Linked DNA regions of Mus musculus: regions 1 and 2 are each reported to be linked to region 3. Evidence: microRNA targets listed by miRTarBase, many of them from high-throughput screens and not tested one by one. Region 3 holds a microRNA gene; each other region holds the end of a gene's coding sequence.

Region 1 (4,281 bases), not on the chromosome of region 3:
CAGGGGAACCCATATATCATACACTCTGTGTGCATTATTGGAACTACTAAATATATATATTTTTTCTGATTCCAAATTGAATTAAAAAGAAAAAAAGGATAGGGGAACCTAAACCACAAGCAGTGCCTGTTGGCATCCAAAGACCAGTTTTGCAGACCCACTCCAAACTCAGGATGTCACACATAGGTGTCACCTGTTGCTATAGCTACCACATACCTTCCCAGAGCCCTGCTTCCCACACTCACCTGGGTACCCCCTTTCGCTTTTTTTCTTTTCCCCTTTGTCTTTCTCTCTCTCCCCTCTCTGTCCCCAGTAAAACCTCTTACACATGGAACTGCTTTGGCCTGGTAAGCAATGTCAGACACTAGCTGCTATTCTAACACATCAGTACCCAAATCCCTTTGCCCCCATCAGGGCTGCGAGAGAAGCAGGTAGCTTCACCAAGGCCATGGCTCCCTCATTCCTGGACAAGGTAGCTAGGACAAGGGCAGGGTCTCCCCGACAGTTTGAAGGGGTGAGGAAAACCATAATAAAACATCAAATAAATTGAACAGGAGTCCAGCCAAGGTCCCAGCCAGAGCAGAACCTGACTGGGGGAGGGGCCTCTGTAGGCTCATGGATCACTGCTGCTGCCACCACCACCACCACCCTGGAAGCCAGTTATTTTGCCATGGCCTTGATTGCAACAGCAGCCGCCTCCTCTGTCATAGCAGACAGCACTGTGATCATGGATGGAGTTTCCAGGGGAGCTCTGTGTGCATTATTGGAATATTACTAAATGCATTTTTTTTATTTAAAAGGTCTCAAAATTAAGATGAGTTCAACTCAAGATGGAGTTTGCTTTTGGTTTTGGTTTAATGTTTGGTTTATGGAGACAGAGTTTCTCAGTCCTGGCTGTCCTGGAACTCACTCTGTAGACCAGGCTTAGCCTCAAACTCAGATCCACCTGCAGCTGCCTCCAAGTGCAAGGATTGAAGGCGTGGGCCGCCACCATGCTGCTTAGCTACAGTTTTGAGGTACCATAAGGATGTTGGGAATTGAACTCAGGTGCTCTTGGAGGAGCAGCCAATGCTTTTCAACTTTTTATTTATTTATTTATTTTTGTGAGTCTCACATTATGCACCTGCACCCCAATCTCACTCATCTCCCCGTCCCTTCACATCCCCCTCTTCCCTTGCAACTTCCCCACAAACACACCCCATGGAGAGCATTTTGACACGGACACTATAGTGTGCCAGGGTGTGTTCTACAGTATACCTACCCTCTTGTCCACACATCTTGCAAATGTTCATTGCATTTAGTCACTGGTCTGGTTTGAGTCTTCTTGCTTCTGCAACACTATCAATACTGGATCCTCACAGGACTCCTCTTAGTTATCCTGTTGTTGGCCTGGATCATGGAAATCCTGCAGCTTTGGATCTGTAGGACCAGCCCTTGCACATGCTCCAGCAGCTCATAGATGAATTAGATTTTGGGGTGGGACAACTCAAAGCGCTGGATCTGGGTGGTAGCTGAGACAGATGGCTAGCCCACCAGCTCTCTCATATCTGCACCACCAGGGCAAGCTTTCTAGCACTGCCCTTGCTAGCTCACCCAATACTGCAGCTGGCAGTGAGGGGCTGGGCCAGCTCTCCCACTCACTCCCTCAGAGCTGGCTGTTGCCCAGACAAGGTGCAAGGCCACTCTCCCAAGTCCTGCCTGTTCTCATGACCTAGGACCTGCCTCAGGTGTTGAGGGATGGGGGAGGGCATCTCCACTGCACCCATGTCCCATCATGGCAGTGGGGCCAGCTCTGTGCTGCTCCTGCAAGGTGGAAGGCCTGCTCTCCTGATTGCTGCAGCCAGTCAGGGGTGGGGCCAGCTCTGGATATCTGGATATCAGCCCTTGGATATCTATGAGGTCTCTCCCACACAGCAGCCCAGACCAGGGAGGTCTGCATGGTCTATGTAGTAATATGATCCAAGAAATCAACAGGCCCCTGCTACTACATGACCACAGACCCAGACATGACCCGCAGTGACAGCATGACAACCAATGCTCTTAACCACTAGAGAGACATCTCTATCTCCCCCCTTACTTCTCTATATGTCTACCACATGGATGGCTGGAGGACCCAATTTAAAGCAGCACTCTATCACCTGCCTAAAACTGTTGGTGGGGTGGGGGTGGGGGAGATATTAATATCTGAATTTAATGTAGCCCCAGGAGTTTAGAGATGTAAACTGTACAGGACTGAGCATAATTTCTGTGTTTTATCCATTTTTTAAGGCAAAAGTCTCACTATACAGTTCAGGCTGCCCTCAAAGTCAATATCTTACTATTTCTGCTTCTCAAGGTCTGGGATGGATTACAGGAGTGTGAGAACCCTAAGGGATATGAATTTCAGACTGGCCTATAACAGGCAGCAGCACCATGGGCTCCTTGGCAGCCAGCCAGTACAAATCACCCAACATCCAGATGCCCTTTTCTTTCCAAGGGACTGAGTGTGTGTGTGTGTGTGTGTGTGTGTGTGTGTGTGTGTGTGTGTGTGTGTGTGAGAGAGAGAGAGAGAGAGAGAGAGGGAGAGGGAGAGGGAGAGGGAAAAGGAGAGGGAGAGAGTATGTTTAGAGAGAGAAAAAGAGTTTAGAGAGAAAAAGAGAGTTTGGAGATAGAAAGTTTAGAGAGAGAAAAAAGTTTAGAGATGAAAAGAGAAAAAGTTTAGAGAAAGAGAAAGAAAAGTTAAGAGAGAGGGAGAGAGAGGGAGAGAGTGTGTTTAGACAGAGAAAAAGTTTAGAGATAGAAAAAAAGAGTTTAGAAATAGAAAGTTTAGAGAGTTTAGAGAGAGAAAAAGAAAGTTGGGAGATAGAGAAACGAGAGAGAGAAAGAGTTTAGACAGAGAAAAAGTTTAGACAGAGAAAAAAAGAGTTTAAAGATAAAAGAGAAAGTTTAGAGAAAGAGATTGTTTCTCTGTGTACCCTGGCTGTCCTAAAATTTGCTCTAAAGATCAGACAGGCCTCAAAGTCAACTCAAACATTGTCCTGCCTCTAGAGTGCTGGGATCATAGGTGTAGATTACCATGGCCAGTGGGACTTGGACCTTCTAAGGGACTTTTAGAATTTGTATTTAGACGGATGAGCCTAAAACCAGAGTGACATCCTGATAGGGCAGACTGGCAATGTGAGGATCCAGATGAAAAGCCACAACAAACTACTAACATTGTTTTAGAATATTCTTTTTAATGATTATGTGTTTCTGTGTACATGAACACATGTGTAGTAGGTGACCAGAGAGGCCAGGTGAGGGCATCCGATCCAGAAATGTAGTTACATGGGTGCTGGGAACTGAACTGCAGCCCTCAACAGGAGTGGTGTTAATCTCTCAACACCACCCCCTAACATTTTTCTTAAAATGAAAGAAAGAAAGAAAGAAATCTAAAGTGCAGGTCATCAAACAATCAGCCCAGATTTCCACGTTTTTTAATCGTGTATCTGTGATGGAAAAGCAATTGTTCCATCATATAGGCTATTTTGTTTTGTTTCTTGTTTGTTTTTTTTTCCAAGACAGGGTTTCTCTGTGTAGTCCTGGCTATCCTGGAACTCACTCTGTAGACCAGGCTGGCCTTGAACTCAGAAATCTGCCTGCCTCTGCCTCCCAAGTGCTGGGATTAAAGGAGTGGGCCACAACTGCCTGGCTATATTTTTTAAAAAATATATACATATAAAAAAAAGATGTCAAGATGGAGAAGACAATTGGAGCGTGGAAGGAAGCACATTTCTTTCACATTCAAAGCTCACAACACAGCCCCACACACAGACAGGCGTTTTGTGCTCGGCATACCCTCCACCTCCAGTTCCAGGGGCCGCTTTTGACTGGAAGTCTGGAAATAAAGCAAAAGGAGAAGTGTTTAAGAGAAAGCACAGCTTCTATCAAAGCTCCTCATAGTTCAGTAAACTAGGGGCATTTCATGGAAATGACTAGTTGTCATGACAACCGAATCCTCCTCACACACCTCTGGAATCAAGATGCTTATCCATGCTCCCTGGCGATTTCTAACCACTAATAAATGTACAGCCACTTAAAAAAAAAAAAAAAACCTTTCAAGTGACACAAAAGCAAGTTCAAATTGGATCTTTCCTAGCAAAATTCTGGGTGAGGTATGATTGTAAAGCAGCCAGAGCTCCCGGCTCCCACAGGGTTACCAGGGAGCTCACACACGCTACTGTGCCACACCAGCTATTATCGTTAAATGCACTTTCTATTTAAAATGCCTCCATTTGAGATGAGTTCCTCAGAATATGATCC
Region 2 (4,281 bases), not on the chromosome of region 3:
GCCAACCATCGGACTGAGCACAGGGACCAAAATGGAGTTAGGGGAAGGACTGAAGGAGCTGAAGGGGTCTTATCTGCCATCAATGTGAGGGGAGGCCCTTGATCATGTGAAGGCTTGATGGCGCAGTGTAGAGGAATGCTAGGGTGATGCGGCAGGAGTGGGTGGGGGAACACCCTCATAGAAGCAGAGTAAGGGGGGATGGGATGGGGGTTTGCAGAGGGGAAACCCAGAAAGGGGAGATAACATTTGAAATGTAAACAAATACAATATCCAATTCAAAATGATAATCTAATAAATTTAGGTGATTATGGTGCTTAGGGGGAGAGTTATATACTAAGTAGTAGAATCATTCTTAATTTTTGAACTGGACAATTAACAAAAGAATGAGATAAAATTCTGTGACTATTGCATTTGGATATACACTTATGTGTGTTTTCAGTAATAAAAAGTAATAGTATAGAATGTGCATGGTTTAGCTTCATACCACCACAAGGGAGGCATATGCTGAACACAGAGGCTTTTACAATTCTAATTACTCTAAGTCTATGTGACTATCATGTTGGCCAAAGAGCTGGTGTAATCATAGCTTGTACTATAGAAAATATATTCAGGAAATATGATACAATTTTTATATTCCAGCCAAAAAATAGAACTTCAGCAGCATGCTTTTCCAGCCCCAACACACACACACACACACACACACACACACACACATACACACACACACACACACACCTTGGCTAATAAGCACATAAAATCAATTTTATAAAATATTAAAGGGTACTGAAAAGATGGTTCCTAAGTTTAGAGCACTTGACGCTCTTAAAGAGGAACCCACAAGATAGCTAATAACCATTTGTAACTCCAGTTACAGGGGATCCAACATTGTCTTCTGGTCTTTTTGGGCACCCAGCATGCATGTGGTGCACAGACATACATGGCATGCAGGAAAAATACCCTTATGCATAAAAGAAAAATATTGCTGGAAATGCTATTGTATTCTATGTAACAGTGTATGAACAATGCAACTAATATTAAAAATAATTGACTACTAGATGATTTGAGATGTATTTCTATAAATCCAGCGTGAAATATTTCTGTCCTCTAGCACTTCAATCATTAGAACGTTCTGTATATGCTTTGTCCTGGCTACTTTTATGTCAATTTGACACAAGCTAGAGTCATCTGAAAGGAGGGAAACTTGATTGAGGAAATGCCTCCATGAGATCCAGCTGTAAGGCATGTTTTTCTTAATTAGTGATCAATAGAGAAGAGTCCAGTCCCTTGTGGGTGATGTCACCCCTGGTAGTCCCGGGTTCTATAAGAAAGCAGGGTGAGCAAGCCAGGGCAAGCAAGGCAGTAATCGGCACCATCCATGGTCTCTGCATGAGCTCCTGCATCCAAGCCTGCTTGAGTTCCTGCCCTGACATCCTTCAATGATGAGCAGTGTGTGGAAGAGTAAACCAAACAAACCCTCTTTCTCCCCAAGGTTCTTTGCTCATGGTGCTTCCTCACAGCAGTAATAACCCTGAGACATACTCCCTATACAATCCCAAACTCTATGGTAAAGCATCTGACTTGGAAAAATGCAAAAGAACTTCTAGAAACAGTAAGCTCTTCTTTTCTTGTGATTACAAAATATAGCTTCTTTTTTATTCTTTTAAAGTTTTATTTAGATCAGGCAGTGGCGGCGCATACCTTTAATGTCAGCACTTGGGAGGCAGAGGCAGGTGGATTTCTGAGTTCTAGGCCAGCCTGGTCTACAGAGTGAGTTTCCAGAACAGCCAGGGCTATCCAGAGAAACCCTGTCTTGAACCGTCCCCCAAAGTTTTATTTATTATTGTGTGCATTTATAATGTGTATGTGGTTGTATGTATGGGATGAAAGATGCTTGGTCAGACAGCAATTTGGTGGGGTTAGTTATGTGAGCTCTGGGGATCAAGCTCAGGTCTTTAGGTTCACATGGCAAGTGTCTTTACCCACTGAGCCAGCCCATGACTACCAAATGTATTTTCTATACAGTAAATTGATAATAAGTAGACATATCATATGCTAGTAATAGCAACTAAAGATTAGTATAAACATACTCATTGAGAAGTATGAATACAAAAATTCACACCCAAGTTTTGAAACAAAATATACCTAAAACTATGGCCAGCATTCAGCTCGGACTTGCTGGTCTGGGCTCCCACAGACGTTTTCTGAGAAGCCTGGGCTTTGTGTGGTAAGTAGCACCACCATTGGTAGTTTTTAACAGTTTGACTGTAATCCCTACTTGTGATTCTACACAGCTATGAACACTGGAAGAGAGCTGAAGCTGAGCGGAGTGGCGCACACTTGCAATGCTAGCAGTTGGGATGTGGAAGCAGGAGGACCTGAAGCTTCAAAGCAGCTCCTGCTACACAGCACCTTCTAATACAGCCTGAGCTAAAGGATACCTTGTTTCACAAATAAAAAGGATAGCCAAGGAAGGCAAATATAATCGTTGAGTGTGGTGCCTTGTACACTTGAGAGACTGAGACAAAAGTTTAACTATGAGTTCCAGGCCAGCCTGGACTACAGAGTGGGACACTGTCTCAAAACACACACACATACACAATTTCAGATATAAAAACACAATTACTAACAGATTGCTATAAGTGCAACTTGCATGTTCTGTTAATATTCCAATGACACATATTATTATCAGTCAAAGAGCAAATATAATGAAAGCTGGCCTTGGTGGCACAAGCCTTTATTCCCAGCACTTGGGAGGCAAAGACAGACAGACTTCTGTGAGTTCAAGTCTAGACTGGTTTACATAGTGATTTCCAGGACAGCCAGGGCTACACAGATGAGACCTTCTCTTTTAAAAAAGACATGAAATACTCTAAAACCAGGAAGTTTACACCTAAACTTTGAGAGCCATTCACCTCCAAATGATGGTAGCTAAGAACTTGACCAACAATGAAAGGTGAGACAATTCACCAGTTTGAACAAAAGGGGGGCATTTTAAAATCAAATTCACAAGAACCTCTTGTTGTGAGCTAAGCTCCTGAATTAGACCCAAACAGAAAAATCAAGATCAGGCACTCATATTAAGCCCCCATTTAACCAAAAGGAAACTAAATTGTCTTTCTGACTGTCTGAGAAATAGATTAGAGAGATTTAACAGTTAATGAAGATTCCTCTGCCTTTTTTTTTTCTTTTTCCCCGAGATAGGGTTTCTCTGTGTAGCCCTGGCTGTCCTGGAACTCACTTTGTAGACCAGGCTGGCCTCGAACTCAGAAATCCACCTGTCTCTGCCTCCCAAGTGCTGGGATTAAAGCCGTGCGCCACCACTGCCTGGCAGATTCCTCTGCCTTAACGCTGTCATAAGAAAGGGTGACCTCTGGACTGGAGAGATGGCTCAGCAGTTAAGAGCACTGACTGCTCTTCTGAAAGTCCTGAGTTCAATTCCCAGCAACCGTGGCTCACAACCATCCATAATGAGACCTGACACCCTCTTCTGGTGTGTCTAAAGACAGCTACATCATACTTACATATAATAATAAGTAAATCTGCTGAGCGTGGTGGCGCACGCCTTTAATCCCAGCACTTGGGAGGCAGAGACAGGTGGATTTCTGAGTTCGAGGCCAGCCTGGTCTACAAAGTGAGTTCCAGGCTAGCCAAGACTACACAGAGAAACCCTGTCTCAAAAAAAAAAAAGAAAGAAAGAAAGAAAGAAAGAAAGAAAGAAGAAAGAAAGAAAGAAAGAAAGAAAGAAAGAAAGAAAGAAAGAAAGAAAGAAAGAAAGGGTGACCTCAGATTGACGTTATTTGGGTACAGGTTTTTGTTTTTCTTCGTTTGTCTCCCGGTCTTTGCTTTACAAGAGTAGGAATTTTGAAATGTTACCCAAAAAAGGAAGAAAAAAATAGAAATGTATACATATAAGTATTATTAAATGCTGTGTTTTAAAATAATCTAGTTAAAATTTTAAGCTAATAGTCATTAAAACAAGATGCTGCTGAAGAATGCTGTCTTAGGGGGTGACTTCGCTGGCTGTTGGCTTGGGCTTCACTTGTATATTGAGCACATAGTCATGGCGGAAGGATGAGCGGACTGTGCGATTCATCAGCGGCTGAAGAGGGCGGAAGTTGTCCACCATTCTTTTCTCTTTCTCTCCCTCAGAAGTGAAAAGCAGGGTCCGAAACTGCTCAAGCTAGAAACAAAACATTACGAATATCAATCAGAAACAAGCTTTAGTATATGGATAAATTACTTTCTTTTTTGTTTGTTTGTTTGTTTGTCATGAGTCTCACT
Region 3 (4,000 bases):
TAAACTTAAGAGTTATCAGTGTTACCATGGACTCTACAAGTAGTTTATCAGAAAGGTACAAATTCTGACTGGAGTTGCTTTGTTTTCCATACTATTTTGAAAACATTTCACATGGGGTTCATAAATATTACCTTGACTTGTTTCCTGCCCGGTAGAGGCTCTCCGCTCACAATCTTCACAATCACTCCAGTCACAAACTGTGGGCCTTGTGCACTGACCTTCTCCTGGGTGGAACACTCTTGACCACTGCCTGCTGCTGTGAAGAGGAAGGAGCCAGAGGTAACCTTCCCACTCCTGACATTTCACATGAGGAGCACTATTCTACAACAGCAGCAGCAGCAGCAGCAGCGACTTCTCAGGCTAGTTTAAGGATCTCAGAATTGTAAATAATATTAAGGAATCACACTGCCCATTGGAATCAACATGGCACAAAAGGCATTATACCTCTAAACCAAAGAATAAAGCCTTAATAAAGATGTATGCCTATATGAACATAAGACTATTCAAAGTATTCTATTCTTTTTTTTTTTTTTTTTTGGTTTTTCGGGACAGGGTTTCTCTGTATAGCCCTGGCTGTCCTGGAACTCACTTTGTAGACCAGGCTGGCCTTGAACTCAGAAATCCGCCTGCCTCTGTCTCCCCAGTGCTGGGATCAAAGGCATGAGCCACCACTGCCTGGCTTCAACAATTTCATTTTTTAAAAAATTTGTTTATTTATTTTATTTATGAGGACGCTGCAGCTGTCTTCAGACACTCCAGGATAGGGTATCAGATCCCACCATGTGGTTGCTAGGACTTGAACTCAGGACCTCTGGAAGAGCAGTCAGTGTGCTTAACCACTGAGCCATTTCTCCAGCCACAAAGTATACTGTTCAAATATGAGAATTTGTATAATTTGCAAGAACTTAAAACCTTTACTAATATTACAATGAACGAGAGTAGTGCTCTAATATGCTCCTGCTTGCTGAACATCATCCACTAAGCCTGCAGTCTTTATTTCTCTCTCCAGGCACTCACAAGTGAGCTCGCAGGTAAGTAGAGAAGAATAAACAGACTATTAAAACCTAGTGTGTAATACAAAACTTCACATTTTTACTTTTCTTAAAACATTTTGTTTTTGGAAATGGTTCAGCTTAAAACTGAGGAAGCCACTCTATCACTGCAATAAAACTGCCCCTGAAACCATTCATAGACTAAAGCCCACTCTTCCATTACATGAGCGTCACCCTCTCCGTTCCCCACTGCACACTTACTAGGCGCTTTACAGTCTGTTTCCATTTCTGATTCCAATTTGATTTGAGATATTGTTTTTTTTAGAGAAGCCATGCTAGCTTTTTGCAGTGCCAAATACTCTTTCTTCAAATCCATCCATTCAGTCCTGAAAAACAAAAATTGAGCCATTACAGTGATAAGACGACCCAACTAGAAATCTGAAGTTGATCTAAACACAATGTTCATAGGAACTGCAAGTCTTTCTGACTTTTCTTTCTTTTAAGGCATATGTTTACATTATTTGTTAAGCCATTTGTTAAAGCTACCTAGCAAACACACAAAGGAAGTTTCTTTGTCTTAACAGGCAAGGAAAATGCTTGAGTTTCCTGGTTGCTTCTAATATTTAATTGTAAAATCACTTTTGAGTCACTTCTATTAAGTAAAATCACTAAATCAGGCAACCTGGAGAAAAAGTAAGAGACTAAAACTTAAAGATTTCTCAAATTGCTTCCAATTTGAGAGCTAACATTCCTTAGGATTTACTTGAATCAAAAGGAATTTCTAAGAAGAAAAAAACACCCCATGGAAGCAATTTATTTATTTACATACATTTAACATGTAGATGTATCTTCAAACAGCTAGGGCTCCTCCAGAGAAGCACAATGCATCTCCTGGCTCTGTGGGAGCGCTCATTGTTACCCTAATCTGTGCCATCAAACGGGCAGATAGGAGATTTTTTTTAAAGAGGAGGATATCTTGTGGTAATGGTTTTAGCAGTTAACATTGACATCTGTTTACTTCAAAAAAGGAAAAAAAAAAAAAAAATCCAGACCTACCCAGGTCCCCAGGACCTACTTTCCCCAGAGCTGATACATTAAAATAACAAAGGGTCTTGTAATGATTCTCAGAGATAGAAAGCCAAAAGGAACTCAGGAGTTAGGAGTAGTATAAATACAAGTGGTCTAAAGTCGGCGTCTTTCACCCTCCGAGGACAGAACAGGACTCTTTGGGAGGCGGTCACGAAGGTAAAGGAGGTAAAGCTTATGTCTGTAACCGGGTCACTTTACTTTCCTGTGGGTTTGCTCTTCTGTTTTAACTAGTTGCCTTGTGGGTGGGTTCCCTTCAACTTTAACATGGGAATGCTTTCTGTCTCATCGAAGAGTAAGTGCTTCCATGTTTTAGTAGAAGTGAATTCAAGAAACTCTGGAATAAGAAAGCTAGCCTTTTAATTCAGAGTCTGATGGGAGTCCCCTCTGCTTTAACATGGGGTTACCTGCTGTGTTAAACAAAAGCAAGTGCTTCCATGTTTCAGTGGGGGTGTCTTAAACTGTTCAACATTTTCTCTAAGATGCTGTAGGTTAAGGGAGTTATTGACTGGGCTTCCCACCACTTAAACGTGGTTGTACTTGCTTTAGACCTAAGAAAGTAAGTGCTTCCATGTTTTGGTGATGGTATGTTTTCCTTTATATTCATGCCTTTGTAAAGACCACTCAAGTCTGCTTAAGGGGCCTCCTTTACTTTAACATGGAGGCACTTGCTGTGCATTTAAAAATAAGTGCTTCCATGTTTGAGTGTGGTGGCTCCTACTTAATCTTCATTGTGCTGCATATAGATAGACCAAGGCCGTCACTGTTGCTAACATGCAACTCTGTTGAATAGAAATTGGAATTGCACTTTAGCAATGGTGATGGACCTGTGTCAGTGGCCACTTACTTGGACAGCACTCTCAATGGTATAACCTCCTCGCCCATCTTATGTCTCTCCTTGTGTTTCTTCTTATGCTTCCTCTTCACCTTTGAGAGTGAGTCACCTTTTCTGTCTGTCTCCTTCTCCTCCTCAGTAGAGCAGAATTCTAAGTCTAGAAAAAAGATTTCCGTAAGTCCGTTGTTGTGGTTAAACTGGTTAAAACATTTGTAACCCTACTGCCACGGTACCTCTGCTCTCCTTGGAGACCTCGGAAGCTGCTTGGCCGACGCCATCCTTCTGAGCCCTTTTCTTAGCTTTTGGCCTTGGGGGGAGGCAGTCTTCGTCCTCGGCGCTGCACCTCTCCCTCTTCCCTGCCCTGGCTTCAGGTAAGCTGGATGCTTCCACCTTGTCCCGCTTCTTCTTTTTCTTTGCAGGTTGCTTTGGAGCTTCCGGGGTTTCTGCTTCGGAGCCCTCAGAGGCCGTCCTTGGTCTCTTCGTGGCTTTACACACGCCCGAGCTGCTGCTGTCCACGGCCGACTCTTTGGCCTGCACACTCTCTTCCTTCTTTATTCTGCCTTTTTTCTTTTTCTTCTTTTTCTTCTCTTCTGTAACAAGATTTTATTATTTACAGTCATAATAGTTTATTGTTTACTTGGCCACTCTAAGTAAGCACTCACCTGCTACTCGTAAGGAAGGGATGGGCTTGTTTTTCACTGTCTTGGGAAATATACCAGGCTTTCTAGGTGCTTCTTCTGGTGGGTTGTTCAGAAACTGAAAAGATTGATTGCAGAATTTGTTACTCTTGTTAACCCTGTGCTTTTTCTTTACTTTTCAGGGTCCCACAGAAGTACGTACCTCAATGGCTTTTGCTGCTTGCTCTTTTGTTTCAAATTCCACAAAGGCAAATCCCTTAGGATCCCCAGTAGACTTGTAATGTGGAATACTTATGTAAACCACATTGCCACATTTCCCAAATACTCTCTCAATCCAGCTATGAGTAACATTTTTGGGGAGCAACTCCTGTAATAAATCATGGTATGAACATTTTAAAGTTCCTACATTTTTACCAATAAATGAATTATAAATAAATGAACTAGAATTA

Evidence for each region. Region 3 holds the annotated microRNA mmu-miR-302a-3p (UAAGUGCUUCCAUGUUUUGGUGA, at 2,639-2,661, shown strand). A microRNA usually pairs through its seed, bases 2 to 8, with sites in the 3' UTR of a target mRNA and lowers its output. Matches are read on the target gene's strand: a 7mer-m8 pairs with bases 2 to 8, a 7mer-A1 pairs with bases 2 to 7 and ends in A, and an 8mer does both.
Region 1: miRTarBase lists Chek2 as a target of mmu-miR-302a-3p. Seed matches in the 3' UTR shown: 7mer-m8 at 3,633-3,639.
Region 2: the mRNA of Car5b is a reported target of mmu-miR-302a-3p. Seed matches in the 3' UTR shown: 7mer-m8 at 3,291-3,297 and 7mer-A1 at 2,637-2,643.

What each region holds. Positions count from the first base shown.
Region 1 is chr5:110,873,055-110,877,335 of GRCm38, reverse strand. It overlaps Chek2 (checkpoint kinase 2), which reads right to left. Exons shown (of 15, transcript NM_016681.4): 15 at 3,196-3,856. The coding sequence ends at 3,770. Among named protein-coding and RNA genes, the nearest start is that of Ttc28, 4.6 kb to the left of the region's middle.
Region 2 is chrX:163,975,191-163,979,471 of GRCm38, forward strand. It overlaps Car5b (carbonic anhydrase 5b, mitochondrial), which reads right to left. Exons shown (of 8, transcript NM_181315.4): 8 at 1,632-4,180. The coding sequence ends at 4,001. Gm38561 (a long non-coding RNA gene) reads left to right here. Exons shown (of 4, transcript XR_878297.3): 2 at 1-1,609. Among named protein-coding and RNA genes, the nearest start is that of Gm38561, 19 kb to the left of the region's middle.
Region 3 is chr3:127,542,901-127,546,900 of GRCm38, forward strand. Mir302a (microRNA 302a) reads left to right here and starts at 2,596; the gene lies at 2,596-2,664. Larp7 (La ribonucleoprotein domain family, member 7) reads right to left here. Exons shown (of 13, transcript NM_138593.2): 5 at 3,754-3,918; 6 at 3,576-3,669; 7 at 3,147-3,503; 8 at 2,926-3,070; 9 at 1,254-1,378; 10 at 132-256. It overlaps Gm51018 (predicted gene, 51018), which reads left to right and starts at 2,189. Exons shown (of 2, transcript NR_146435.1): 1 at 2,189-2,246; 2 at 3,734-4,000. It overlaps Mir302b (microRNA 302b), which reads left to right and starts at 2,328; the gene lies at 2,328-2,401. It also overlaps Mir302c, Mir302d and Mir367.